Linked DNA regions of Macaca fascicularis. The protein of the gene in region 4 interacts with the protein of the main gene of each other region in a pairwise test. Links are inferred from orthologs where the notes say so. Each region holds a gene or a part of one and is shown on either strand. Other genes may lie near its edges.

Region 1 (4,240 bases), on a different chromosome or scaffold from region 4:
CATCATGTATGTCTGGACTGTTCAAATATCTACAAAGAGTATTTGTTACTCTTATAATAAGACAAAAAACCCTAAATCTTTTAAAAAAGTAATTTTCAAAGTCTTCCTTGAGAGAGTTTAATGCCCAAAGGGGCCTGAACCATGTTTGTCCCACAAGATATTTTACAAACAAGATGACTTCATGGAAGAGTAAGATGGAATTTCTTATTACCGTCTTGTTCACATTTTCGTCACCAAGCTCTCACGCTCTGGGTCAAAGATCCTCATAGACACCAGTAAGCTTTAAGCTAGGTCTTCCTAGAATAGAATGAATTGAGCCTTCCTCTTCTCCAGTTGCATGCCATCTTACTGCCTTACCTTACCACAACCATACTAGCAGTTTAGCCTTTTTTTTTTTTTTTTTTTTTTTTAAGGGGCATGCATCTCTTTGAGAATATTATGAATGCTATGCCAAGAAAAATTCACATTTAGGCATACGATATTGCATTCTATTTCCTAGGGTTCATGGACCCCCATAGTTCATCTCCACTAATTAAGTTTTCTGAGGCCATGACATCAAATTTAGGAATGTAGAAACACATATCCGGTGTATAGAACACTTTGAGAAAAACTAATTTGTACAAAACTGTAAGCCAGATAAATTGGTGGATAATTATGGGCATTACATACGTGGTTTTTGCTCTGCCAAATAATTTCCATTAGGACATCTATAAATAGCAAATCCATATAATGCATTTGAACCATATCACTGTTTGCCCAAATGCTAAGCCCTTTCCAGAACACACCTACTGCAGAGCAACAGGCCAATTCAAAAAGTTCAATACTAGTTTTACCCTTGAGTTTAGCTACATTCATTTACAGAATTCTAGCTTTCCTCTAAAATGGCCACTAACCTATATCACTTTGGGGACTGATGTTCAATGGGAGGCAATGATACCCAGAAACTTTTTGACTAAGGAGAGGTAGTGCATATGTATGGGTTATCAGATTGCTTTGGAATGGATCATTTGAGATGAGATGGAGTCCATTTCTTTATTTCAGGAAGGAAAAGGATAAACATGATTGAGTCCTTACAGTATACCAGGTGGACATTAGAGCATCTCATGTACTCCTCACAATGACTCTGGAAGATGGGGGCTTTTTCCCTAGTTTCCAACTGAGTTTTAAAAAAGTTGACACATATACCCCAGGTCTGGCAGCCAGTAATTAACAGAAAAAAAATAAAAATAAATAAGAGGCAAAGCTTTCGGGCTTAGATTACTATCATTGCTGGTTAACTTCAGGGGGCTGGGAAATGTACAGTGCCTAGGATCACACCAAATCCAGACAGCCACTCAGGCTGTGATTTTCATTCTCCTGATTGTATCAATGGCTTCCAGGGATGCGTGTGAAGGGAGACAGGATCGCACTTTTCCTTGCCCCATCTGGCCTGTCCCTATCCTACAAACTGGCAACCCCTTTCCTTTGCTGGTATACACGGACTGCCTCACATTCCCCAAATGCCTGGGGATCGCACAATGAAATCAGAATAAAGAGCCAGGAACTCTACATTTAAAAGAATCCACGTAACTACAAACTCCATCTTAGGATTTCCACCACCAGCTGAGTTGCCATTTGGCATTGCACTGCCAGCAGCCACATTTTACTCTATCCTCCTCCAAGATTTTCAAACATGTGCCTGGCACCCACGAGAGTTTCAGAGGAAGTGTAACAGTGACAGGAGAAGTGCTGCGGGTTTGGTTTTGTGTATACGTGTTAGTGTAACTTTCATAAAAGCAAGTGTAAGTTCTTAGAGTATTAACTTTCACAAGAGGAACATCAACTTTCAGACAAACGCAGGCAAACCCTTTTTCTTTTTCTTTCTTTTTCTTTTCTAGTGAGTGGTATCTGAAGGTAGGGGTGATCCCTGTTATGCAAAAGGTCTCTGAGACCCTTGGGATACATACATGCCTTTCTGGCCCAGTACTCAAGCTTTTCTGGAAGAGTATCCCTCGGCTGTCTCCATCCCTCAGCCTTCAAAAGCCACCTACTACCCACCTACACGTGCTTTGGACACAAGCAGGTTCAAAGCACAAAGCAACCAAGCCACCACCCCGCAAGAAATCGATCTCCGAACCCGGAGTCACCATGAATTGCGCGTGTGGATGTGTGGGCGAGAAGGCTGGGTCCACAGGGATGTGGTCCAGCATCGTGAGCAGCGGGTCCTACCGGACGTTCAAATCTCAGCGGGTCCTGCCGGACGTTCAAGTCCTCCAGCCCGGGGCGAACTAGCAAGTTTCAGACCCCCACGCCCGTGCTAGATCGGAGGAGAGACAAAGCTGGACCGCGAGGAGAGGAGAGTGAGTTTGTGTTCTCTTGGGGCAAGTGTGCTCGGTACCTTGGATTCCTGGCTGCTGGTGGATGCAGGAGAGGGCGGTTGCTCGGCGCCCGCCGCCTCCTTGGGCAGCCCGTCCACGTCGTCCTCGCGGGGGCAGCTCGGAGGGATCATCGTGGCCGCGCGGGAACGGTGTTGGGCTCCCGGAGGAACAGCGAGGCTGCTGTCCTCCTGCGCGCCCTGCCCGCCGCGCGCCAGGCTGCTCAGCTCCGGGTCCCGGGGACTCCCATCCTCGCCGAGGCGCCGACGTGCCCTCCTCCAGCCTCGCCCCCTCTCCCGCCCGGCCCTGCCCACCTCCCCGGCACTTCCGCCGGCGTGGAGGAGAGTGCGCCCTGCCCCACCCCGCCCCGCCGCGCCCGCGGCCACCTCGCGGGCGACCTCGCAGTCGTGACTGCCACTCGGCAGCGGGCGAGCGGGCTTCAGCTCGCCCACAGGAGGAGGAAGGAGGCGGGGAGGCAGCTCCGGGGCGGGGCTGCGCGGTCAACGCCTGGAGTAGTGAGGGCAGGCAGGGGGCAGCGCCCTGGAGAGGGCTGGGGGAAGGCTGGGCGCGCGCCGGCACAGAGTGCGGGTGATTCTGTAGAGGGGATGCTGAAAATTCAGACCCAAACCCCAAAGAATAGAAAATCTTTGATTTTCTATTTTGATTTCTGGAATGATATAGCCAGAAAGGACCGCTTGCAACAACTCCCTCATTCCTCACCCGAACGAATAGTGACTGAGAGAGACAGTGACTTAGCTAAGCTATTTATAGGGTTCAGTGACAGAGAGCAGGGATCGGAGTGGGGGTCCCCTGAATCACGGTCACAGCGCTTCCTCCATTCAGCTTTGATCTAAAGCAGAGAGATAATGCGGGTGTGTCTATGGACACCTGTTCCTCGTTTGTTATGCACTTACTGTGCTAAACCCTTTCTTTTTACCTTATTTAATCCTCCCAGCTACTCTATGCGTCTAGGGATGATCACTTCCATTTTATAGATGAGGAAATCGAGGCTGTAGGAAGGCTGAGTAATTTGCTTTAAGTCACTAAACTATAATTGGCGAAACTGGAATTTGAACACATTTTGGCTTCAAAATCCATGCATTTCCGACTGTGGAGCCTCAAATCTAGGCTAGGTCTTGGCTGAAGAGCAATTGGATGTTGCAGTTTAGCAAGAGTTGAGGACTGTTCACAGAGGGGCAAACCAGCCTGCCTTGCTTAATCTTTTGGAAACATACGGATAGCCCCATTGAAAAAAGATACAGAGGGTCCAGTTTCTTTTGAAGACAACCTCAGTGTGCGGGGAAAGGAAATACAGCTAGATATTTGAAAGCCTCTTTTTCCCCATTAATACAAAATACCCTCAACTTTTTAAAAGAAAATTGCAAACTTCTGTTCAGATTTTTAAAATTAGCTGTAGACGTTTGCAAGAGCAGCTTCATGGATGTGCAACCTGTGCAGTCACACAGGGCCCCGCACGGATGCTGCCATCTTGAAATTCGTTAAAAATATTTAATGAGACCACATTTTCATTTTGTACTTGACCCTACAAATTATATGTCTGGTCCTGCATGCATTCCCTAGTTCATGTCTTTTAGAATGAACTGACTCTTACTCTTTCCATCCCAGATGCCAATTGAAAGCTACTGTTCTAAGTGTCAACCTCTTTCTCAGCATTGAGCTTTCAAAATGCTCTAAATTTTCTGGTGAACCTCAGTACTGGGCCAGATTGGCCAGCTAAAATGGCTTCAGTTTTTTCCGTCTCACAACGCAATTCCTGATTGTTCGATAGAGACAAAATTCTAGTAGCCAAAGTCACAAACACAATGACAGGAGCAGCCATATCAACACATTTTTATCAAGCATCTATTCTGTATCAGAATTGTGCC
Region 2 (4,245 bases), on a different chromosome or scaffold from region 4:
GAGGTGAGAGGAGGATTTGGGTGGGGAAGTGAGATGTCTGTTCAGTTACCACATTTGGGGTGTCACTTCACCCCAAGAGACCTTTCAGCCCTTCAGTCTAGTCCCAGTACACCCTGCCTTGATCACAAACTTGTGTCTCTAGACCACATGGCAGCAGGCATGTGTGTCTGTGTAGAAATCTCCCCCTCTGTTACCACCACACACCACAAATATGGGTCTGCACTTAGAGCCACAAACAGGCAGCACACTCCAATTCACACGCAACGCAATTGCAACCATTTATCAACTCCAGCCTATGGACAGGGGAGCGCCAGGGGCTCACAGATAACTTATGGTTGCAATAGTCTCTCTCCTTTTCAGCTCCTGCTCAGCTCACAGTTTGGCTAACACAAGTTCAGGGAAATTGGGGAGTAAAATTGCTCCAGTCCCAAGGTGGGGAGCCAGGGGTGATGTGGAGGTAAAAGGAAGCCCTTCACAGCACACCTAGCCTTAACTGGTCCTATGTGGGGGCTGGAGGGGAGAAGAGGGTAACTGAGTGGAAGAGAGGAAACAAAAATATATACAGGCTTCTCTTCTTCTTACCCTCTCTCCCCCTGCTCTGGAACTCAAAAAAGTTGCCAAATAAAGCTAAGCCAATTAAAAATAATAGCCACCAGCTACTAGCTTCCTTCTCCCCAAGTGAAAAACACTGGATTTTTTTTATATATAAAAAATTTGGTTCATCCTACACTAAGTACCCTGTCTTACCAATTTGCAGTGCTATTTCCTTAATGTGATTGCCTGGGATGGGACCCGCAGCTGCATTAAATATGAAAGAGGGAAAAAACTGTTAATAATTGATTCTAGCCAAATGGCTGCCTTGCAATAATGGGCTTTTCAGGGAGAGTTTGGGGTTTTAGGGTGGTGGGTCGGTTTGGGAGTGTGCGGGGAGAGTTGGGGAAGAATGTCTTCCCCAAATGCCAGCTCTTAGGATTCCACCTGGCGGGTTGGAGGTGACAGGACCCTGCAGGGAATGGAGCAGCTCTTTACTCTCCAGCAGGCAAGGATGCACTAAAGAGCCCTGGGGCCACTCCGTCAATGGGAAACCTAGCAGGGCAAGGAGAGACGAAAAAATCCCTACTTCCCAAAAAGAGTAAGAAACGAGGACTTGATTCACCAGCCTGCGAGTCATTGTTTGGGGCTGAGTTCCCTCGCCGAAGGGCCCTTAAAAATAAGTAATAGGAGAACCCTCTCTTCTCACCTAGTAGCACCTCCTGGAAATCAGCCAGACTTGGCGTTCTGACTGGGGTGCTTTTGAGGAGTGGGAGGTGATGGGAAACTACCCATAAACGGTAAAGTTCTCCGCCTCTCTGCAACCCTCTCTTCCCCCACCCCTCCTCTCCCCGGGATGTCCCGATATTCGGAAGCGATTCCCCGACTCCCCAAGAGGCGGACAGCCCGGGCTGGGGCTAGGGAGCCCCGCAGAGAGCAGCGGGGTGGGGGAAGGACCGCAGAAAAGGAAGCGGCAGCCCCGGCGAAGATGCCGAGGAGGAGAGGGGCCACCAGAGGGAAGGCTCCCGGGGAGGGGCCGGCGCATCCGGGGAGGGGGCTCAGTCACCGCGTCCTGGGCTTCCCCCGCCCCTCCCGGCGCCGGTTGCGGACTCTGAGCGGCTACAGCACGAGATCTGCTAGGAACAATTCTCCGCCAAGCTGTTGCATCGCAAATAAAATCCTAATGAGCCCCCTCCCCCTTCCCCTTGGCCGGCTTTTACGGTCTGCGCGTGGAGCGGGGAGCTCTGCCAGCCGCACGGTCCCGGGCAGCCCAGTGCGCTCCGGCCCTTGCCCTCGCCGGCTCTCCGCCTCGCTGGCCGCTGGCCCCCGGCCCCACCAGCTCCTCTCCCGGCCGTCGCCGGTCTCTGGCCGGGCTTTCAGCTGGGGCCTCCGGGAGACAGGGGAAAGAGGGCCGAGAGAGCTGCAAGTCGATCCCAGAGCCCCTGTTCCCCGCACGACTTGAAGAAGTGGGGGCAGCGCTCCTCTGGCGGCCTCAGTCTCACCTTCCAGAGCACGCAGCTTTCCCCCTTCCCTCCGACTTTCCTTCCTCTCCCCTCCTCCCGGCCCGCTCTCCGGCCACCGCCGCAGTTTCCCTTCACATGGTCGGCAGTTTATTGCCTTTCCCCTCCCCGCCCCCTCCTGGCCTTCGGCCTGGGTATTTCCTCACTTTTTATAACTTACTTTGATCCGGCCTCTCTTTGTCCTCGCTTCCTTCGCAAATTTTATTGTCCCCGTAGCCGGGTCTTTGATTAGACAGCACGGCCTCCCTGCCCGCCGAAGTTTCCAAACTGTACTCGGGCGTGCCCTGTTTAAGCAGCTCCCCAGGCGCGCCCAGCAGCGGCTCCGCCTTCACCGCCGCCTGGCCCTGCCCCGGGGCCGCTTCGCCGCGCGGCGCCGGCTCCAGCCAGGTGCGGAGGTACCTGCTCTCGGCCGGCGGGACGCCCTGGGGCTGGATGTAAGGGTGGTAGACCGACGGCAGGCTCCCGGACGCGTGCGGGCTCAGCGGCGCCCAGGAGGCGCCGAACACCGGCGCTTTGGGCTGGAAGCTGCACGAGGGGAACTCCAGGTGCTCCGCGTGGCCCGGCTGCCGCGGGCTCGCGTACTGGCCAGAAGGAAACTTGGCTGGAGGCGCGTCCTCACTCTCGTGACTTATGATCGAGTCGACATAATAGCTGCTAAGCGTCCCAGAAATGGACATTCTCAGACATTATCCGGGCGCTCGCAGGGGGAAGGGAAGCGCTCGCGCGGCGGCGCCCAAGCAGGGAGAGGTGGCACCCGGACCGGTGTGAGGGCTTTCGGACGCGACCCCCCCAGCCCCCCACCCTCCCACCCCCACCCCCTGCTCAACTTCTCAGCCAACAAAGTACAGTGGAGCAGCCAGGCTCAGCGCTCCTTGCAAAATGATTGGTCAAAGTTTTTCCGACTGCCTGATAAAGCGTCAGCTCCGACATAAATCAATCGGGCGAGGGGGCTGCGCTCTCGCTGTCATCCGTCCGCACCGCATTCCATATCGAGGATGGATTGTTTTATGCTGATGCAATGTGCTATCACGTCAGGGCTCCGGCGGCCACGTAACCTCAGCCTGAGCTGCCGGCTGCCCGGTCCCCCCTCCCGCTGCAGGAAGGGGGGCAGTTCTCGACATGGGGCGGCGGGGGCGGAGGAGAGGCGGAGGGAAGCGGCGGGCTGCCTCGGGAGGGACGCAGGCTGTGGAGCCCTCTCCCCAGGCGGGTCGGGGAGGGAGGGAGAGCAAGGGCGGAGGGAGGGAGAGAGCCCCAGCCCGGGGAGCAGCCACAGAGGCCCGAGAGGATACTGGAAGAGGAGGTGGTCCTGTCCCCCCCAACACACACCTCCACCTCCACCCCACAGGCCCTCATTTCCTCTTCTCTGTCCCCTTGACAGAAGATGTTTATTAAACAACAGCAGCAGCAGCAATCCACAGGAGATGAAGTAAAAGGATGAGGGGAAAAGTTGGGGATTTTAGGACGTTGTCCGCTTTGGAGGGGGCTCTCTGTGCACTATTTGTAGAGATTTACATGACTGGGAGCTTCCCTGGACCCCTCAGTAGCTGAGGGAAGAGGAGAGAGGTGAATAAAACGGCTGAGTGTCCAAGAATCCACTATTTGTCCTGAAATTAGAAACTGCTTGAGGTTAAAGGGATCCATCAGGCCCCGGAAACGTGAGCCTAGGAAAGAGTTTAATACAAGGAACCAGAGCGCCTTTACATTTATTGGGCCTTTCTGACTCTGGCCAGAAGGATGGATTTAAGATGGTGGTGGTGAGGTGGGGGCGGCGGGGGGGGGGGGGAATTGCCATTTCTCCTTTTCTCCACTGAATAACTGAATAACCACCCAGGCCCCTAAAATTGCCCTGATGAAGGAGCTGAATAGCAGAAAGGGTTAAGGACACTTCCCTGAGGTGTCACCAGAGTAGAGGCCTGGGAAAGGATCCCCAGTCAGCAAGGGAAGGGGTCCCAAGTTATCTCCCCTTCCATCCAAAGAGGAAGGAGCCTGGGCTGAGTTTTCAGCCCTCCTGTATCACTCCTCTCACCCAGGGCTCCTGCTCTGGAGACTTCCAAACACCGATATAGGGGCCAGTGTGGACAGGGAGCCCACAGTCAGTCTCTTCCCCTCGCTGACTTAACCCCTGCAGACTGCCTCACTGGAACTTCCAAATAGCCCTTTTTATATATATCTACTCTGTGGCCCTGGGCAGGGA
Region 3 (4,097 bases), on a different chromosome or scaffold from region 4:
GGGAGGACAAGATTAAAACCTCCAGGGCACCAAACAAAGGCTAACTGGAAAGACTGGTCTTTAATCCCTTATCTCAAACTCCTGGGCCAGATGTGGTTTGGAATTCAAAATTTTTTGGATTTTACAAGACTAGTTCTAGGATACATCACCTAACACCCCCAACGTGGCCACGGGACATCAAGCTATAATCAAATGCATTAACTGTCCTGCAGCAAAAGTATGAATTTCCCACATTAAAGAGGAGAAATAGAGATATAAAATAGCCTCACAGAATAGTTCCACTTTATAATCTACTTTTGCCATAAATGGTGCCAAATTTAAGAAAAGGATTTCAGTTTTCAGGGCTTTTTAGATTTCGGAATGATGAGCAAGAGATTGTGGAATGATACTACATTACAGGAAGGCTCCTTAAATGATCAATCTGGGTGCCTTAAATCCACAAGGTATATTTTTTCACACTACATTTTGACTTTCTGTCTCATCCATCTTTCTGTGAAGAGTAAAGCTCATCCAAAGGGTTATGCTCTGAATTTATATGCAAAGCAGTACAGATTAGTGACACTGATTCTTTTAAATATACCTGGTATATTTCTGGGGCTGCCAAAATTTTGTAAGACAGAGATTTTAAAAAATAGATTTCTTTCTGATTCAAGGCACATTCTTAATCAATGTGCTTTAGAAGCCATTTTATCAAATCACGTCTCAAAACATTCCAAGGGCAGTCAGTCCTCATCCTACTTCATCTTTTTAAAATGTTTAATATTTTCTGCCTCCCATTGCAAAAATCACACTTAAACTCTAGATGTCAACCTAAAAACGTACAAGAGCTTTTCAAAATTATTTCGTGTGCAAGCCATACCCCCCCCACTTAGGCAAGATCAAGTGGAGACCGAGCCCGCATGTGCCCACGCTTTCCTCTCCTGGCAAACCCCTTCCTTCACTTGCATTCGAAACCCCACTTAAGTGGTCCCAACTAATACCTCCAGCTGCTGGCTCCGGAACTGGCCACAGGTGGACTCTCCTGAACCCCTCAGAGGTCCCCCAACTTGTGGAACCCGTCCTCCCTGCGGCTTTTGTCACATAGAGGGGCCCCCCAACATAACTGAGTCACCCCTCTTTCCCTGCACATGGGGGAGTCCAGCTGTCCTACTAGGAAGGCCCCATTTCCCTCTTCTGGGGGATCCTCTATTCCAAACCCTTCCCCCATCACGCCGAGAGGCGATACGTTCCCCCTGAAGAGTTCCCTGTCCCCGCACTCTGAAGGGGGGGTCTGTCCCCCTTATCTTCCCTCCCCTTCCGGCGTCTCGCGTGGACACCGAATGGGTAACGGTCACCGGGGGCCGATTTTCCCGCGCGCGGGCGCGGCCTCCCCGACAAGCCCCCGCGCGTGCGCGCGCTGGTCCGGTCGCGATCTGCGGCGCGCGCCCCCCTCCTGCGTCCCCACTTAGCCCCAGGCCCGCTGCGTTCCGAGGTACGCGCCCCCTCCCCTCAGCCCCGCCCAGCCCCGCGCACCAGGCCCGCGCTCCCCGAGCTCCATCCTTTCCGCGCCGAGCTTCCGGCTCCCGGCGCCGGGGCCTCAGACGCCGGGGTCCCGAGCCGGCGACGCCACCCCTCCAGCCCACCCGGCCCGGCCAGCGGGCCCGCGCCTCTGTCTCCACTGCTTCACCTTTTAAATTTTCCGCCATCTTTCCCCACGGCTAACGACATTCGGGCCTAGCCGGCCTCGCGAGAAGAGAGCTCGCGCGGGCGTGGCCGGGAACGCGCAGCCTATTGGCCGCGGCTCGCGACTCGCAGCACCCGCGCGGACCAACCGGAGAGCCGTGACCGAACCCCTCCCTGCCGCCCGGCTCGGTCCCGGAGGCGGGTGCTCGCCGCACTTTCCCAGAGTGCGTCTGGGCGGCGGCGGCAGCGGGAGCGACAGTGGCGGTAGCTAAAGTTGCCCGAGGCCCTGCCCGTGCGCTGGTCTGTCTGTCACACTGCTAGCCAATCACCTTATCAGCCAGTCACAGTGGCTCCTGAGTTCTGTCATACTCCCTATTATCACCGTCAGTCAGCCCGTCATCACATTTTAACCCCAAGTAGGCCGGGGCTCCCAGGTGGACTAGCGCCCCATCCAACCGCTCAGGCGGTCGCACCAGACAGATGCCTAATCAGACCCCCGGCCCCCATCCACACTGCCGGGCAGTCAATACCGGTTTCCATTTGTGCCCCCGGGCCAGCGGCGACTCCCTGGAGGCAGGCAGACAGCACTGTTAGCCAGCCAGCCTTATCATTCCCTATGACCGTCCTGTCCTCAATTAGTCCTCCTCTCCACCCACCATAGCCCTGGGACCAGCTGCGATTCTCTCTGGCTAAATCCTCTCATAGACTGCAGCATCCAGCCATGCCCCCAGGCGGGCTGTGATTAGGTCGGGGCAAGCTGTCATTGTCAGCATCTAATACAGCCCTGTCGGACACTATCAGTTGATCACTGTCTTTCCCTCAGATTACTTCTCATTCACACCATGATCAGTCACAACACCCAGCTAGGCCCTCAAAGCAAATAGTCACAGCAACTAGAGGTAGGATTAAGCCTCCACACCACCTGTCAGTGGGTCAGCCAGTCTGTCATTTCTCAGGCGACTCATCCCCACCATTGGTCAATCAGTCTCCTCGGATGCGTTGAAGCTGAGATTCTATCAGAGCAGACAGTCCGTAACCACGTACAGCCATCGAGTCAGACGGTTATGCTGATTTTGCTGCTGGCCAGCTGGCCTGTGACTCGTTCAATCCGCCCCTCATCACATCGTCAGTCATTCTCAGCATCCGACTGACCGCACCGTCTGTCAGGTGATCAGTCAGTCAGAGCACCCAGCCAGGCCCTCCAGCATGCTGTGATTCGAGCAGCGTGGACAGTTGATTACCAGATACAGCTGCCTAGCAAGCAGCCACGGATCTGTTGATCAGTCAGCCTGAGGTTTCCCCAGGTGGCCCTCCTTTACACAGTGCCAGACAGTATAACATCTAGACATTCCCCCAGGCCAGCTGTGATTCCTGACAATAGTCATTCACAACATCTGGCCACCCAGGCAGGCAGTAGCACCACGGACCATCAGTTAGTCAGCCTGCAAGGTCCTCAGGAGGCTGCCTGTCTTTTCCACTGTCAGGCTACCAGCCCCAGCCAGTCCTAGGCAGGCTGTCATTCAGTTAGATGTTCAGGAAACCGCGCTGTCACTTCCTCAAATTGCCCCCTCTCCCTGTCACTCCATGAGTTCTGTAGTCAACCAAACGGTTATACAGTTAACCAAACAGATATTCTGTCTGCCTGCTAGTCCAGCTGTGAGCTCATTAAGAAGTGACTGGCTGGTCTGAGGTTCCGTCAGCCCTAGCTTGCCCTGAGTGGGACAGACAGGAACAGAAGTCCCACCATGCATCCCCTTCCCTCCCTTATTCCTTCTCGAGCAGAATCAGATTTTCGTCCTCATGTACCCCCAGTCTCCTCGGGCAGCAGGACTCTCCCACTCCTGGGTGTCCAGGAGACCTGTCCAACCCACAAGAGTGATTTAAGACAGGACCTCTGCCTGTCTGGATCTGAGGGGGAGACAAAAGGGTCTGTGGCCGGTGGTGCCCCAAACCACTATAAAGTAGTGGGCAAAAGCCTGGATTCTGGAGCCTGACTACCTGGACTCATATCCAGGCTCTGCCATTTACTAAATTACTTGTCCTTAGGCAGTTTCTTTTTTTTTTTTTTTTTTTTTTTTTGAGACGGAGTCTCGCTCTGTCGCCCAGGCTGGAGTGCAGTGGCGCGATCTCGGCTCACTGCAAGCTCCGCCTCCCGGGTTCACGCCATTCTCCTGCCTCAGCCTCCCGAGTAGCTGGGACTACAGGCGCCCACAACCGCGCCCGGCTAATTTTTTGTATTTTTAGTAGAGACGGGGTTTCACCGTGGTCTCGATCTCCTGACCTTGTGATCCGCCCGCCTCGGCCTCCCAAAGTGCTGGGATTACAGGCGTGAGCCACCGCGCCCGGCTGTTTCTTAAACTGGTCTGTAAAACCTCGAGTAAGTGACCTTGGGGTGGGTGTCTCCTGCTCATCTGGAAAGTGAATCATTCTGGACT
Region 4 (4,016 bases):
CCCGGCCCGGCCCCGCCTCCGCGGCTCCCCCGGCCCTGGCCAGCCCCCGCCCAGTGCGAGTGGGCGGCGCCGCGCGGGGGAGGGTCCGAGGGGCGTCTCCGCCCCGGGACGCGGACACGCGCAGGGACACGCGCAGGGACACGCGCAGGCACCCGCGTCACGCGAATCGGCCGGGGCGCACGTAGGGGCTGTTCGGCGGCAGTCGGGAGCCCTGCCTCCGACGCCTTGTGACTGCGTGTCCGGCGGCTCGGTTCGGCTCGACGCGGCGGCGGCGGTGGTCACCCTCCGCCCCAGCCGGGGCCCCGGGGCCAGCGGCAGCTGGTCATTGTTCCAGCACAAAGGGCCACGGCACGGCGGCGGCCGCCCCTCCCCCTCCGCTTCTCCAAGCGAAGCTTCCTTGACACGCTCTCAGCCTCAGAGTCCCAAGCGAGAGAGGTCGACGACCGGCCGTCCCCCACTCTCCGGTGCCGGGGCCCCGCGCCCTAGCGCGAGTCGGAGGCCGAGGCTGGGTCCGCACCTGCCCCACCAGGGGCGGGTTGGAGGCGGCAACCTGGGCTTCGCAGAGGCGGCGCCACCTGGCGGCCCGCTCGAAGAACACACCCAGCCGCCCCCCACCACGCGGGCCCTGCCCCACTCCCCGGCACGGTGCCCTTTTCCCCGCGAACCCAGGCCGGCCTCTGGCGCGGCCCCGTGCTCCCCAGCCTCCCCTCGGGACCGCTTGCTAAGACAGAGGTCATTTCTCGGAGAGAAGCGGCCCCTGGCTCCCCAACAATCACTGGGGCAAACCGGTCCAAGCCTACAGCCCAAACCTACAGGAGCCGCACGGCAGACAACATTCCACTTTCTCAAGGTCGCAAATATTCTCACCTTCTCGCACACAATACAGTCTCCCTAACACCCACGCGACCTTTCCCACATGCAGCCTCACCACGCAGCCACAAGCAGTCTCAGCTGTCACGTGGGTCCGCGTTCCTTCTTTCCATAATCTTCCAGTCCAACTCACACACAGACACGGTGTCACAGGCCTGTTGGGCACAGGCTTCCACAACAATCCGCAGTCCTTCGCACCCAGTCACTGTCTCAAATGCACTTAGTCTCCTAACCATCTTTCACGCATTGACAGCCTCTATTCACAGTCACTCACACAGACAACTTCTTACAGCCATGCTTCGCAAATATTCTACCGCACAGCCTTTCCCCTAGGGGTCTCGGTGACCCGGTCAGGTCAGCTGATGCCTGCATCCCTGGGCAAAGACAGCCTTTCTCCCCTAACCACCCCCTCCCCCGCAGGGCCAAGGCCTGCCAGAGCTCGCCCGGGCCCCAGGAAGGAGCATCCCCCCCTTCCAGGCCACAGCCCTGGCCGGCTCTCAGCTCTATTTTTAGCTCCATGGACAGGGTTGTTTTTCTTTTTCCCTGGAAAGGGAAACACAGCCCAGCCACCCTCAGACTCACCCCAGACCCTCAGCCTCACAAGAACAGACTGAGACCCTCTCCCCAACAGAGCCCCCTCCTCTGGCCTTGCCCTGATCCCTGCCTCCTGGGGCACCGAGAACCTCCTCCCCTTTCTGGCAGCCTGCCCAGCTCAGGCGGCAGCTGGGCTCAGCGTGTGTGTAGGGGTAGGGGGTGGGGCGGGAAGAAGGCATCGAGCTACTGCCCACTCCCTCATTCCCTGGGGGCAGGGGCTCGTCCTCCTTTTTCTAGGGGTCTAGGCCCACTCTGGTATTGAGGGGGCGTTTACACTCATGCATTTTCTGCGGGGGAGGAGACTCCTACTCCGGCAAGGAGTGGAGGTGAGGGTAGGAAGGGGACCCGCAGGCGCTCAGGCAGCTGCTCTCTGGGCTGGCGGGAATAGGCGGGGGCAGCTGTCCACTGCCATCAAGGGCCTGTCTCCGAAACCTTCGGGGATGCAGATACCAAGAATGTGCTGGGGGAAGGACGTACAGGAGCCCAGGTTAACCCCAGCCCTGCCCAGCAGCCCGGCCCTCCTGCTCCGCCCCGGCTCCAGGGGGCGCTGTGCTCCGGTTCCTGGGAGAGGGCTTATCCCGGCTCCAGGAGGAGAATGGAACGCCGTCCGGCCTGGAACCAAGCAAACGGGCCTCGTGGTGGGGTTGGGGGCACAGGCCACTGGTGTGCGGAGCTGTCACGTGCCCGGCGCCTGTTTACGTCTTCGTCTTCACCTGTGGGCGGCCAGGAAGCAGGAACCTCTGGGTGCGTCCCACCCGGCCCGCCCCCGTCGGCGGTCACGGGGCTGCCCCTTTCCCGCACCCAATGCGCGACCGCAGAGTGCCCTGCCCGCTGTGGGTCCGCGCGGGCTGATTGGCGCTGTCCCTGGGAGTGCAAGGGTACAAAACTGGGCGCGTCCTTTCCGACTGCATGTGTGTTCGCGTGTCCCAAGTGCGGGCGTGGGTCTGTGCACGCGTGTTTGGGGCCCGTCGGCGTGCGTTTTCGTGTCGCTTCCCTGTTTGGACTCTTCGCGGGCGACCCACCAAGTGCGGACCCCCCTCCTCACTCCACCCCTAGCTTCCCCAGAAGCGGAAAGTTCGTTCAGGAGCGGGGATGTGCGGGAAGCAGGAGTTCCTGCACCTCCGCGGCCCCACCACTCACCCAGCGCCACCTGCGCCTCGGCTCCAGCTCTGGCCCCGCTCCTGCTCCAGCGCGCCCACCTCCTCGCCGCGACAACGCCGCCTCCCTAGCCCGCTCCGAACTCTGGGCTCCGAACTCCGGGCTCCGGGTTCCGGGCTCCCGGCTCCCGGCTCCGGGCTCCCGGCTCCCGGCTCCGGGCGCCCGCCTGGCCTGACCTGGTGGGGCGGGGCGGGGCGGCTCAGGCCGCGCCCCCCACCCAGGGAGGGGAGTGGTCTGTCCCGCACTCCACCAACAGCCTACCCAGTTCCCTGCCCCACAGGGACTCGACGGTGGCCGAGGCTGCCCCTCTGGCCTTCGCCTTCACAGTTTACTGGATTTGGTTTTTGACGTGGGGAAGGGGGCGAGCATCTCGTGACCGATAATTCGACTACCTGGCTGCCTTAAACTAAGCTGCCCTATAGAACTTGACTCTGCCACCCTCCCTGCTCCGTTGGGAGCCCAACCCGGTCCACTCTTGACCCAATCCCCAAATATAGGGAAAACCCCTGGGAATCAGACAAAGGAGGCTCGAGTTTCACCAGAGCAGCTCCCACCTGCCCCCACCATGCACACACCTCAGCGTGGGGCTGCCCAAGCAGAACCAGCACAGCCCCCTCCCTAGAGTAGGTGTCTGCCCAGGTGAGCAGGCCTGCCGGTTCTGACCCCCCACGGGGCATGACTGGGCTTCTCTTAGACTCATAAAATCCTACCCACAGGCACAAACAGGAAGTTGGCCTGTATTGCAGGGAGGCCCCAGGGGCTCCCTCCCGCCATGGCACTCAAGGCAGCATGTGGGAAGGTCTTTAGGTATCTGGGCCGTATGGGCTGCTGGAGACCTCGGTGAGTTGTTGTTTTTTGAGACGGAGTCCCGCTGTGTCGCCCTGGCTGGAATGCAGCGGGCGCGATCTTGGCTCATTGCAACTTCAGCTTCCAAGGTTCAAGTAATTCTCCTGCCTCAGCCTCCAGAGCAGCTGGGACTAGAGGCATGTGCCACCACGCCCGGCTAATTTTTGTATTTTTAGTAGAGACGGGGTTTCACCATATTGGCCAGGCTGGTCTCGAACTCCTGACCTTGTGATCCACCCACCTCGGCCTCCAAAAGTGCTGGGATTACAGGTGTGAGCCACCACACCCGGCCGAGCTGTTTATTATTAAACCCATCCACAGCAGAGAGGAAGCTGCTGGAGGACCAAAGCTGCCCCCTCATAGCCAAGTGTGACATACACTATCAGTTAGAGGACAAGGCTGTAGATCCAACTGGACCTGGCTTAGCCAGGCCTTTCCTGAGTTCTCGGGGAAATGTTTTTGAATTTTTTTTTTTCTTCCCAATCCACTGAACCTGTGAGTCAGGGAGATTCTTAACATCCAGTTGGGTGTAGGCAGACCAGTCCTAT
Region 5 (3,281 bases), on a different chromosome or scaffold from region 4:
TCTTCTGAAGAAAGGAGTATCAAATAATTTGCATCCCTGGAGGGGAGCAGTGGCTCATGCCTGTAACCCCAACACTTTGAGAGGCCGAAGCAGGAGGATCACTTGGGCCCAGGAATTAAAGACCATCCTGGGTATCATATCAGGAACCTATTTTTTAAATAATTAAGTTGCACTCCAAATGTTGAAATCCCTGAAGATCAAAACCCTTGGCTGGGTGTGGTGGCTCATGCCTGTAATTCCAACTTTGGGAGGCTGAGGAAGGCAGACCACCTGAGGTCAGGAGTTCAAGACCAGCCTGTGCAACATGGTGAAACCCCATCTCTACAAAAATTAGCCAGGCATGGCGATGCACGCCTGTAGTCCCAGCTAATTGGGAGGCTGAGGTAGGAGGATTATTTGAGTCTGGCTGCGGAGGTTGCAGTGAGCCAAGATAGTGCCCCTGCACTTCAATCTGGGCAATAAAGTGAGACTTTGTCTCAAAAAAAAAAGTAACTCAAAGGTAGGAATACCAAATGTTTATTCAGAAATGGATAATACATAATCACCCTTCATCCCTTAATGCCTCTTCCTCTCCTTCTGCATGGGAGACACAGACGGGTAACACAGGGGCATGGGAAGTGAAGGAGGACACAGGACTAGCCCACCACCTTCTCTTCCCGGTCTCCCAAGATTACTGCTTATAGAGTGGAGGAGGCAAACAGGTCCCCTCAATGTACCAGATGGTCACCTACAGCACCAGCTCCAGATGGCCACGTGGCTGCAGCTAGATTCAATCAAACTCTGTGACAACCAGAAGATCCCTGCTTTGGGATCAGAGGGAGGGTAAAGCCATGCAGGCAGGATATTTACCGTCCCTACCCTAAGCAGAGTCCAAGCACTGAGTCCCCTGTTCCCAGTACCTGAAAAACCAGGTCCAACTGCCTTCTGGATGCTCTCTTGGGCCAGGAAGGGTAAAGTGTGGGAGGAATGTCTTCCAGCTGCTAACAAGAAGTCTGCACCCACTTGAAGGGGTTAAGAGAATAAAAAGCAGCATTCTTTAAAGAACTGGAAGTGGAGCACCACCAGGCCCCTTCCTTGGACTTTCCCGGCCTGGGCAGCCTCAGAGTCTGCAGACTGAAGCTGAGTTCAAACCCTGGGTCCTTCCTGCCTGACAGACTGACCTCTGGAAACATGAGTCTCTGGGTTTTTCTTCACTGGGTCAGCCTCAAGCAAGTCTCGGGAACTCTTGAGTATCTCTGGCATGCGCCTTTCCCAGCACTTGCTACTGATTTTGCAGAGCTCCCAGAACTGTGCTCCCCAACTGGTTCCAGCTCTGCCAGCCTGGATTCCCTTCATTCCCAGCAAACCAGCAGGGGACCACTCAGTGACACCAGGGACAACACTGGCCTGGTCATTCAGGGACTGCCCCTGGGCTCTATAGTTTTGTCCCAACTGCCTGTGCCTATGCTGGGGAAACAGCTTGCCTGGGAGAGCTGCCCTGCTCCCTTGACTCCTCCTCTGCCAAGGCAGGAAAATAACCCTCTGGTCATGGATGGATGGGTCACTCACGTAAGTGGGAACAAACAGTGCCCCTTGGTGGCAGCTGGATATATGCCTCCAGGCACTCCTGACCACTGTCCTGTTGACAACTTAGGCCAGAAATGGAGAGCCAGGAGCAAACCGACCTCTTCCATTCAAATAAGCTCCTAACCCACAGCATTGCAGAATGGGAGGTTGAACCTTTGAAAGGCCCAACCAGAGGAGAGCTGGCAGCTGCACAAAACCAGGGTGATGAGTGCCAGGCGAGGTGAGAACCAGGAGGGCTCACAACACAACCCCCTCCTAGCAGAGACACCCAGAAGGGAAAGAGAGCTAGGGTAGGGCATTCAGCACAACTCAAGGAAAAGGGAAAGGTGAACTCTGGAGAACTTCCTCTGGGCGGAGACAGCACGGGCCTCCAAGCCAAGAGCTTGGACACTCTTCCCAGCGGTGCAGCCTCATCCTGCCCTTGCCATTAGTGAGACCTGGAGCCACTGGGGAGAGGACAAGAGGCCTGAGACCTGCTCCCCACCCAGGCACCTCCAATGACCAGGCAGAGGAGCGGCACAGCTCTCAGGCCGACCTGGCTCCCATCAGGATACCAGGGTTTTCCATCCCCTCCGTTGTCTGAAAAGCTTAATACACACAAAGGACAGGCAGCCCGTCGGCCCCTGGAAAAAGCAGGGTCCTTCAGACAGCCCCCGCCCTGCATCCCATGGGGCCACAAGAAAGCCACCCAGAGAATTCAGTGTACCATTTCCAGATAAGAAATCAGCTTGGGGCTGAGGCTGGCGGAGGCACACTGAAAAACACAAGCCTAACTTGGTGATGAGATGGAGAAGAAACATACTACAGGAAACGTTAACGTACAGAGAAAGCACATGGCAGAACACAACACAGAAATGCGGGTCCCATCCAGTGAGGAAGCTCTTTACCCCTGGTGACCCTTCCCACAATCAGGGGTCTCCAGTCCGATGGCCCATTGGTCACAAGCTTTGCCTTGGGGAAACAGAGCCACCCTCCTCTGCCCCCACTTCCAGCTGCCTCACTCCCCTGCTCAAAGCTTGATTTTGAATTCTGTGGGCTGCGTGGTCACAGAGGCCCCTGAGGACTTGAAGAGTGCCTTCAGGATGGTGTCAGGGTCCACTTCGGCAGGGGGGTTGGAGGAGGAGGCAGAGTTCACCCTGCGAGGCAGCTCACTCTCCTTTTTCACCGATGGGCTGTCACTCAGCCGCCTGTGGAGAGCAGAGAAGGGTAAAAAAAAAAAAAACCTAATTGGGGAACAAAAAGAGGGGTAACATCTGGCTCTGTCTCCATCAGAGCCAATCATGAGGTGGAGTTCTGTGTTCCTAGGATGATGATGATGCACACAGCTGGGAGACCCAAGCAGCCTCCCCTCCACCTTCCACTCAGATATTTCTAAATCAGAAGGCTGAGAACGAGATCATAATGCTAGCCCCTGTAGGGTCAACCCCTGGGGAAATGACAAAGCAAACCATTTTGGTTGAGTTTAAGCATTTGAAACAACCAGCTGCCATTAGAACAAAGGAATGCAGGCAGTTTACCCATTAGAATAAAAAGAGATGGACGGAGTTCCCTCTCCCCAGCACCCCGCCTTTGGAACTCACAGCAGGATGGGCTGGTCTGAGGTGATAACGTTCCCATTCATGTGAAGGTTGCACTTCATCGGCTGCCCTGAAAAACCAGAGAAAGAAAAAGGCTCTGCTATGAGACCTCAGCTCCTCACAAAAGAGGAGAAGGGC
Region 6 (3,386 bases), on a different chromosome or scaffold from region 4:
CTCCTGCCCTCCCAGCCTCCTGCCCTCCCCACCTCAGTCTCCTTCGATCTGAAACCAGCGCCCCCAGCGTGGTCATGGAAGATAGTCATGGCATCCGCATCCACTGAGATGGACGGAAACTATCCAGAGAGTTCTGACGGTGTCCCCGTCCAACAACTGTCACCTCCACACCTAAAACCCGCCCCCCCGGGGACGGGGCCTCTCTGTGTGAACCGTCCTGCGAGTGCAGCAGGGGTGCACATGGCTGCGGGTGCATAGCCCATGCATTCCTCGGACCTCCCGGCGTGGCCACCGCCACAGTGCAGGGGCTTGAGAGGCAGCACGGGGACCGTCACATCTTCGGTTCCAGGGTCTGGTGATGTTCCTGGCTGAGTCCATTGGGATGCTGGCTTCAGAAATGCCCGGGGTGCGTCTCTGAGCACTGCTTCCGGCCTGCCTCCCAGATGGCCCCATTGCTCCCCCAGTCCCTCCCGAGGCTCACACAGCCAGACCAGGTCCTCTGAAAAGACACAGCATCTTGGGTTTATTTGGGGTTGGGCACTGCAGGTTCAGGCACAGTTTGTTCCTGGGTAGAGTCACAACTGCTCCTCTCAGCTCTCTCGGCACTTCAGGGGCTGCCCCTGCAGGTCCCCTCCCCACGTCCCCGTTTCCTGCACACACGTCTCTTCCCCCCTCCCTGCTCCCCGAGTCTCTCATTCTTTCACCAGCCTGTAGATATGGTGCTGAGCCCCATGCTCACTGGCTGACACCTCGAAGACATAGGCGATGCACAGCAAGGTCTCCTGTGTGTCTCTGTTGGTGACCACCTGTGGGAGAGAAAAAGACAAGGGTGAATAAGGCCCCAGACGAGGGCACGCCCTCGCTGCTACCCACACACAGACTCCAGCCACACCCGCGGCACACCTGCAGGATGGTGAAGTTCTCCAGCACGCTGTTCATCATGTACTTCTCGGGGAGATGCTTCAGCTTGTGGATGAAGTTGATCATGTACTCACAGAGCGGGGAGCGGTGGATGCGGTAAGAATAGTGTCCATTCTCATAGCGAGCATACTCTGTCTGCAGGGCCCGGGGACAGCAGGGGCTTAGAATCCCATTCTGACCACCTTCGGCCCAGACCCAACTCCATGGGAAGCCCCAGGACCCAGACTCAACTCCATGGGAAGCCCCAGGACCCAGACCCAACTCCATGGGAAGGAAAGGCAGGAGGCCTAGGGGCCCTTAAGAAAAGAGTCACCCCCAGCCAGGGGCCGTGGCTCACGCCTGCAATCCCAACACTTTGGGAGGCCAAGACAGGCGGATCACCTGAGGTCAGGAGTTCAAGACCAGCCTGGCCAACATGGTGAAACCCTGTTACTATTAAAATACAAAAATTAGCCAGGCACGGTGGCACGCGCCGGTAATCCCAGCTACTCTGGAGGCTGAGGCAGGAGAATCGCTTGAACCTGGGAGGCGGAGGTGGCAGTGAGCTGAGATCATACCACTGCATTCCAGCCAGGGCGACAGAGTAAGACTGTCTCACACACACACACAAAAAGTCACCCTGTTAGGTTGGTGGACATTAAACAAGACCTCCTTCCTCCACGGGTGACCAGCAGGAACCGGGGATGGCAGGAGGGGAGCTTAAGGAGACACAGGAGCAGTGGGAAGGAGCCTCTCAATCCTGGCTGTACGTGAGGACACCACGGGGGATACACAGGGACCCCCGGGAGTCTGGTGGTGATCATGCAAGTCTCCATATCTACACGCACCCATGCACGTGCACAAAGGAGCGCGTATAAAGCTGGTGAGATCTGAACCAGCTTGGTGGACTGCATCAATGTCAATTTCCTGGGTGTCCCCTTTATACTTTAGTTATACAAGACATTGCCAGGGCAAGAACTGGGTAAAGGGCACATGGGATTATGATCCCAAGTGGATCCACAATTATCTCAAAAGTTTTACAAAATAAATTAGAAATAAATAATTGGAGGCACTTTTTTTTTTTTTTTTTTTTTTTTTTGAGACGGAGTCTAGCTCTGTCGCCCAGGCTGGAGTGCAATGGCCGGATCTCAGCTCTCTGCAAGCTCCGCCTCCCGGGTTCACGCCATTCTCCTGCCTCAGCCTCCGGAGTAGCTGGGACTACAGGCGCCCGCCACCTCGCCCGGCTAGTTTTTTGTATTTTTAGTAGAGACGGGGTTTCACCATGTTAGCCAGGATGGTCTCGATCTCCTGACCTTGTGATCCGCCCGTCTCGGCCTCCCAAAGTGCTGGGATTACAGGCTTGAGCCACCGCGCCCGGCCGGAGGCACTTTTTAAAAACCAATAATGCCTGGACTCTACCCTAGAGATTGAGGGGTGCTGAACGGGTTTCAGGCACTGGTGTGTTTCCAAAGCTCCCAGGAGACTGTAGGGTGCAGCCAGGTGGAGAAGCACTGGGGGAAGGAATCTCTCTTCCCTGATGCTGGCCTGGCATCTGGCTGCATTTGGCATGAGGAAGGTTATCAATAACTGATAGGCTGTGAGACTAGGACTTCATGAATTCAGACCAAGCTGGGGACAGGGTGAGGAGAGGGACGCAGACCGGCCTGCATGGCGAGGGGGTCTGGTTTAACAAGTGTGTGGGCGGCACAGGGTCCTGGACTCTCAGAGTGCACAGGTGTTTCGGGTCGGAGGCCTTCAGTCCCAGCTCCTTGTCACTGCCACTGTGCAGCGGGCCCAGAACACAGGGTGCTGCAGGAGACTGTGTCACGGACAGTGAAGACAACTTGGCCCTTGTTTAGAGATAAACGGAGGATTTTATCACAACCCCCCAAACACCCACCGGAAAGCAGGGTGGCTGGGTGGGGATCCCCCTGAATGTGTGCTCCTCACCACTGTCCTGCACTGCCCTTGGCCGGGGGTTTAGCCGAGTGGGAGAAACCACCGCCTAAAAGGCAGGCCTGACTTTTCTGTAACGTCCACTAGAGCGGGGTCTTCAGGTCACCCACAAGTAGAAAATCAGGGAGTTTTAGGCATTCATGGAGCAAAGTGAGCAGCGGATGGAGATCCTAGGCACCCAGGCCTGCTTCTGCATTAGTGAGCGGTGTGACCACGTGCGGGCGGTCGGGGGAGGCCTCTGCTCTCTCTGGGCCTCTACTGTGAAGCCAGAGGGCTGGACTAGGTAGATGCCCCTGGGCCCTGCCTGTGCTGCGGCTCTGATCTTGGAGAGGACCGGGGGCGCCTGTAAGGACGTGCTTGGAAGATCCTGAACGGGGAGCAATGGCTCTGGGGAGCGCCCCTCACCCACCAGGGTGGCCTCCTACCTCAACTTTCTCCACCACCTGCTTGCCGAAAGAGCAGACCTTGGTGGAGCAGGTGATAATCATGTTCTCGGGGCTCTCATACTGGCTGGAGACCCCATAGAAGGA
Region 7 (4,172 bases), on a different chromosome or scaffold from region 4:
CCATCTCAGTGTTGGTGAGTGGACTGGGGGAAATACGGCACCAGACGTAGCACACAGTATATCCTCAATAAATGCGGACATGGCCGGGCATGGTGGCTCATGCCTGTAATTCCAGCACTTTGGGAGGCTGAGTTGGGTGGATCACCTGAGGTCAGGAGTTTGAGACCAGCCTGGTTGGCCAACATGGTCAAACCCCATCTCTACTAAAAATACAAAAATTACCTGGGTGCAGTGGCATGTGCCTGTAATCCCAGCTACTCAGGAGGCTGAGGCAGGAGGATCACTGGAACCCAGGAGGCAGAGGGGGCAGTGAGCTGAGATTGCGCCACTGCACTCCAGCCTGGGCAACAGAGACGTTGTCTCAAAATTAAATAAATAAGTAAAAGTAAATGGGGACCATCTGTCATGGTGCTACTTTAACGAAATTATGCAGGTCACGTCTCTGAACCTCGGTTTCCTCATTTGTGAAATGGGGATAATAAACCCTATCTACGATGAGAAGAAAATGAACGGATGTGTGTTAAAGTACTCAGCACTAGGTCTGTGCACCTCAGCCAGTCAAATACCATATCCCAAGTGCAGTGGAAAGAGGAAAGGCTGTGAGGTTGGGCAGGTGACTTAGGATTCTGCCCCCACCTCCTCTCAGCTGCCCCAGGACACAGGCTTGACCCCCGTGTGCCTCAGTTTCCTTGTGCACAAAACCAAAAGCATTTTCTGTCGCAGAAGAGCACTGGGAGATTCACACACCCTAGAACGGCTCCCAGCACACAGTCCCTTCTGCTCTGTAAATGGGAACCTCCTCCCCATTTCCCTCCTCTGCCCTTGTTCAAACCCACCAGAAATGCCACCAGTTAAAGCCGGGCGCTCCATTTCTGGAAACCCAAACAGCTCTAAATCCAGACCAACCTGGGTCTAAGGCCTTCAGTCTGAGACTTTATTTTGTGGAGATACAAACTACTTTTTAGTCATTTCCGAAGCAGACGGGACGGCAGAGGCTGACAAACCACAGGGACCATTTTAAATCCTGGGCCTTTTCTTCTGGGAAGTTAGGCAAGAACCTTCCCAAATGTTTGCCCATCAGGCTTTCTGCCAGGGAGTGACTCATTCCACGGCTCCCCACAGGCATATTTTATTTGGGGGTGGGGGATGCAGGGAGGGCTTGGCCTTGATGGGGGAAGGAGAGGGGGCATTTCCAGCAAACTCAGAAGGTGTTTTCTTTTTTTCATTTTCAGGACAAAAAAGAAAAAGAATGTGGGTCTTTTTTGCTTCCTTCCAGGTTTTGTTTGCTAAAAGAAGACGTCCAAAGTTCACTCGGTAAGCTCAAACTCGCTGAGTCCGGGGCAGGCGCTTCCAGCCGGCTCTGCGTCCCTTTCAATGAAATTCTTCTTCCATTAACGACACGGTTTTTAAACGTGCCTTCAAGACCTGCCTGCACGTACTGTACACCAAACTAAGGCGACATTTTCCCCCAGAAAAGGCAAGCTGAATTTGGAAAAGTCAGAGCAAGTAGGGAGCTCTGGAGTTTCTAAAGTTTGCCTTAAAACAATTAAGACTTTCAACTGCAAAGATTTTCAACAGTTAGAGAGTGCGCACACACACACAAAAGCCTGTCAGTCAAAACTGCAAGGACAGACCTCGAAAGCTGGTGTCCCAAGCCCGCTGTGATCAATTTGTTACCGTCCTGGGACTCACACTTGGAGCCTAAGCGAGGTATACATAAATCAAAAGATCCATCTACTTAGCAGGGCGGGCAGAGAGGCACCCACATACACAGGCAAGTATAAGGTCAGCCCCCCAGGCCTGGCTGAAAAGAGTCAAGAACAAAGACAGGGGAGCCCGGAGGGTATTTAGGAAAACACCGTCCTCGGGTGCCCGGCCGAGGCCCACCACAGCCTCCGCTCGCCCAGCCTGTGTGTGCAGAGAGGGTCCTGCCAGTGGCCCTGCCACAGCCTGGTTTTGAGACCTTCGCCTCTGTCAGGCCCAGCCAGGCTCTGAGTCTGTCCTCCCGGCCCCTGGTTCACCAGATCAGGCCCAGTCCTGACCCCCAGCCCATGCCAGGCCGATTCTCTCTCCACGGGCTCCCTGGCTTGGGGGCCATCACTGTGCAAAGGCCTGGTGGGCGCAAAGGGGGCCCTCAACCTCAGTAATAAACACGCTCGCGCGGTCCTGCACACTCGTTATACTCACACCCACACAGGCACACTTTCGCCCTCCTGGGCTCACGCATGTGCGTGCACACAAATCACTTTGGAATGCACACACGTGCACACACACACTCCCTGAAACCCGCACGTACTCCCTGCGGCGCCCGGCACACTCCTCCGCCCGTCGTCCCCACTCGGGAAGTGGGTAGCGGGGAGCCATGCCCGCGTCCCCGCACGCACTCACCCCAACAACGCCACCAGACGCTCCGGGGTGCACACGCACACCCGCCGGGGACGCGCACACCCCGGGACACGCGGACACGCCGCCGCCCCCGCCCGCGCCCGCCCGCCCGCCCACCGACACGCTCAGCCCCGCGCGGCCACACGCGCGCCCGCCTCCCGCTCTCCCCCGCGGAGCCCCGGGCGCGCGCCCGCCCTCGGCCCGGCTGGGGGTGACGGCCCAGCCGCCCGGCCCCCGCCCCTCCCCGGCCCGCGGGGCCCCACCGGCCCGGCCCCAGCCCCAGGCTACTCACCGGCGCGCGGGCGGGCTCGGCTGCCGCGGGGGGACCGGTGCGCGGGCCCGCGGGCGGCTAGAGCGGTGCGTCCCACACGAGTTGGCGGCGCCGCGGCCGCACGCCAGTCCGCTCGGTTCCGCCGCCGCGCGCGCGCGCGCCCGCCCCTCCCCGCCGCGGGGCCGCGCCGCCCCCTGCGCTCGTGCGCGCTGCCGCCACGCAAGCTTGAGGGGCGGGGGGCGCCCCGACGGCGTCCTTCCTGGGCCTGGACCCCTCGACTCCGCCAAGTCCTGCGGCCGATCCGCTCGGCAGAGAAACCCCTTCCCCATTTCAGAGATGAGAAGACTGAGGCCCAGAGTCACAGGGCGCAGGCCGGCGTCTCCCCCTCTTCTCTGGCTTTAGACTTACGATGAGGGTCTGCAGGCAGCCAACCCTTGAACTCCTCCCGTGCATCTTCGGATTCCCCATCACCTAGCATTGCTCCTGCCACAGTCCTAGTTATACTGAAATTGGCAAAGTAACAAGCACTTATTTTGCACCAGCTGAATGCAGGCACTGAAGTAGGCTCCAAGAGTATTCCGATGAGGGGAAGGCCCTGTCCCCCGCCCTCAAAGTGCCAGCGACTCTTCATCTGGAGCTCCCACTTCCTGTGGCCCCCAGGGTCCAGCAAGAGCCAATGTGCAGAGGTTTCTGGAAGTGGTAAAAGTCCCCACTAAAGAATGCTGAACGCGCCCTCTAGAAGTCAGAGCCTCCCTGGGACCCAAGCAGCTCAGTTCTCACTTCACCTCCTCCCTGCGCCGAGAGCAGCCGCTCCTGGCTGGGTCGTTTCCACCCCTGCCGCTTCCCCTCCATATTCAAAACTGCGCTGCCCCCCAGGAGGGCTGGAGCTAGGGACACTGACTGCCTGCTGAGGCACAGCACTGTACTGGGCACAGGGTGAATGCGTGTCGGGCTTCTGTTTGCCAAATGAGTGAAGGTGCTTTAACTGGCCGTGATGTGTAATAATGACACCAACTGAGCGTCCACCATGTGTGCCAACGTTACCCTTGTGCCCATTTTACAGATGGGCTTAATGAGGCTTAGAAATGAAATTTCAGGCTGGTTGTGGTGGTTCACACCTGTAATCCCACTACTATGGGAGGCCGAGGTGGGAGGATGCCTTGAGGCCAGGAGTTTGAGGCCAGCCTGGGCAATATAACAAAACCCCATGTCTATTAAAAAAAAATGTAAGAATTTGCTGGGTGTGGTGGTGCCTACCTGCAGTCCCAGCTACTCGAGAGGCTGAGGCGGGAGGATCTCTTGAGGAACTCTTGTCATAGGAGTTAGCAGCTGTAGTGAGCTATGATCGCACCACTGCACTCCAGCCTGGACAACAACAATAAAAAGCAAATTCTTTTGTTCAGAGTCACGCAGATGGTAAGTGGTTGCGCTAGAAAGTGGACGGCAGATTGTCTAATTCTAGTACCTGTGTGTTCCAATTACTAGGCAGCCCTGCCTCAGGAATAGCATAGCCCTG

The links.
Region 1: the proteins of LZTS2 (region 4) and STAC interact in binary tests that used the Homo sapiens proteins (3 or more experiments, as listed by UniProt). The two-hybrid records come from large-scale screens. The link is inferred for Macaca fascicularis from reciprocal best matches to the Homo sapiens genes LZTS2 and STAC.
Region 2: the proteins of LZTS2 (region 4) and HOXB9 interact in binary tests that used the Homo sapiens proteins (3 or more experiments, as listed by UniProt). The two-hybrid records come from large-scale screens. The link is inferred for Macaca fascicularis from reciprocal best matches to the Homo sapiens genes LZTS2 and HOXB9.
Region 3: the proteins of LZTS2 (region 4) and SUV39H1 interact in binary tests that used the Homo sapiens proteins (3 or more experiments, as listed by UniProt). The two-hybrid records come from large-scale screens. The link is inferred for Macaca fascicularis from reciprocal best matches to the Homo sapiens genes LZTS2 and SUV39H1.
Region 5: the proteins of LZTS2 (region 4) and POLDIP3 interact in a two-hybrid assay, tested with the Homo sapiens proteins (2 studies listed by BioGRID). The two-hybrid records come from large-scale screens. The link is inferred for Macaca fascicularis from reciprocal best matches to the Homo sapiens genes LZTS2 and POLDIP3.
Region 6: the proteins of LZTS2 (region 4) and TEAD4 interact in binary tests that used the Homo sapiens proteins (3 or more experiments, as listed by UniProt). The two-hybrid records come from large-scale screens. The link is inferred for Macaca fascicularis from reciprocal best matches to the Homo sapiens genes LZTS2 and TEAD4.
Region 7: the proteins of LZTS2 (region 4) and NEK6 interact in binary tests that used the Homo sapiens proteins (3 or more experiments, as listed by UniProt). The two-hybrid records come from large-scale screens. The link is inferred for Macaca fascicularis from reciprocal best matches to the Homo sapiens genes LZTS2 and NEK6.

Annotation. Positions count from the first base shown.
Region 1 is NC_088376.1:12,056,813-12,061,052, forward strand, and holds the start of STAC (SH3 and cysteine-rich domain-containing protein), read right to left. Parts: upstream 2,801-4,240; 5' UTR 2,489-2,800; coding exon 2,378-2,488; intron 1-2,377. UniProt on the Homo sapiens protein: Promotes expression of the ion channel CACNA1H at the cell membrane, and thereby contributes to the regulation of channel activity.
Region 2 is NC_088390.1:58,092,806-58,097,050, reverse strand, and holds the start of HOXB9 (homeobox protein Hox-B9), read right to left. Parts: upstream 2,801-4,245; 5' UTR 2,729-2,800; coding exon 2,212-2,728; intron 1-2,211. UniProt on the Homo sapiens protein: Sequence-specific transcription factor which is part of a developmental regulatory system that provides cells with specific positional identities on the anterior-posterior axis.
Region 3 is NC_088395.1:48,851,276-48,855,372, reverse strand, and holds the start of SUV39H1 (histone-lysine N-methyltransferase SUV39H1), read right to left. Parts: upstream 2,801-4,097; 5' UTR 2,637-2,800; coding exon 2,585-2,636; intron 1,710-2,584; exon of another isoform or gene 1,686-1,709; coding exon of another isoform or gene 1,667-1,685; exon of another isoform or gene 1,538-1,666; coding exon of another isoform or gene 1,513-1,537; intron 39-1,512; exon of another isoform or gene 1-38. UniProt on the Homo sapiens protein: Histone methyltransferase that specifically trimethylates 'Lys-9' of histone H3 using monomethylated H3 'Lys-9' as substrate. Also weakly methylates histone H1 (in vitro).
Region 4 is NC_088383.1:109,955,244-109,959,259, reverse strand, and holds the start of LZTS2 (leucine zipper putative tumor suppressor 2), read right to left. Parts: upstream 2,801-4,016; 5' UTR 2,605-2,800; intron 2,209-2,604; exon of another isoform or gene 2,178-2,208; 5' UTR 1,915-2,177; intron 1,271-1,914; exon of another isoform or gene 868-1,270; intron 9-867; exon of another isoform or gene 1-8. UniProt on the Homo sapiens protein: Negative regulator of katanin-mediated microtubule severing and release from the centrosome. Required for central spindle formation and the completion of cytokinesis.
Region 5 is NC_088384.1:9,003,351-9,006,631, reverse strand, and holds the end of POLDIP3 (polymerase delta-interacting protein 3), read right to left. Parts: intron 3,214-3,281; coding exon 3,147-3,213; intron 2,754-3,146; coding exon 2,576-2,753; 3' UTR 501-2,575; downstream 1-500. UniProt on the Homo sapiens protein: Is involved in regulation of translation. Is preferentially associated with CBC-bound spliced mRNA-protein complexes during the pioneer round of mRNA translation. Contributes to enhanced translational efficiency of spliced over nonspliced mRNAs.
Region 6 is NC_088385.1:3,923,042-3,926,427, reverse strand, and holds the end of TEAD4 (transcriptional enhancer factor TEF-3), read right to left. Parts: coding exon 3,282-3,386; intron 1,057-3,281; coding exon 904-1,056; intron 807-903; coding exon 693-806; 3' UTR 501-692; downstream 1-500. UniProt on the Homo sapiens protein: Transcription factor which plays a key role in the Hippo signaling pathway, a pathway involved in organ size control and tumor suppression by restricting proliferation and promoting apoptosis.
Region 7 is NC_088389.1:19,820,475-19,824,646, forward strand, and holds the start of NEK6 (serine/threonine-protein kinase Nek6), read right to left. Parts: upstream 2,801-4,172; 5' UTR 2,678-2,800; intron 2,459-2,677; exon of another isoform or gene 2,389-2,458; intron 1-2,388. UniProt on the Homo sapiens protein: Protein kinase which plays an important role in mitotic cell cycle progression. Required for chromosome segregation at metaphase-anaphase transition, robust mitotic spindle formation and cytokinesis.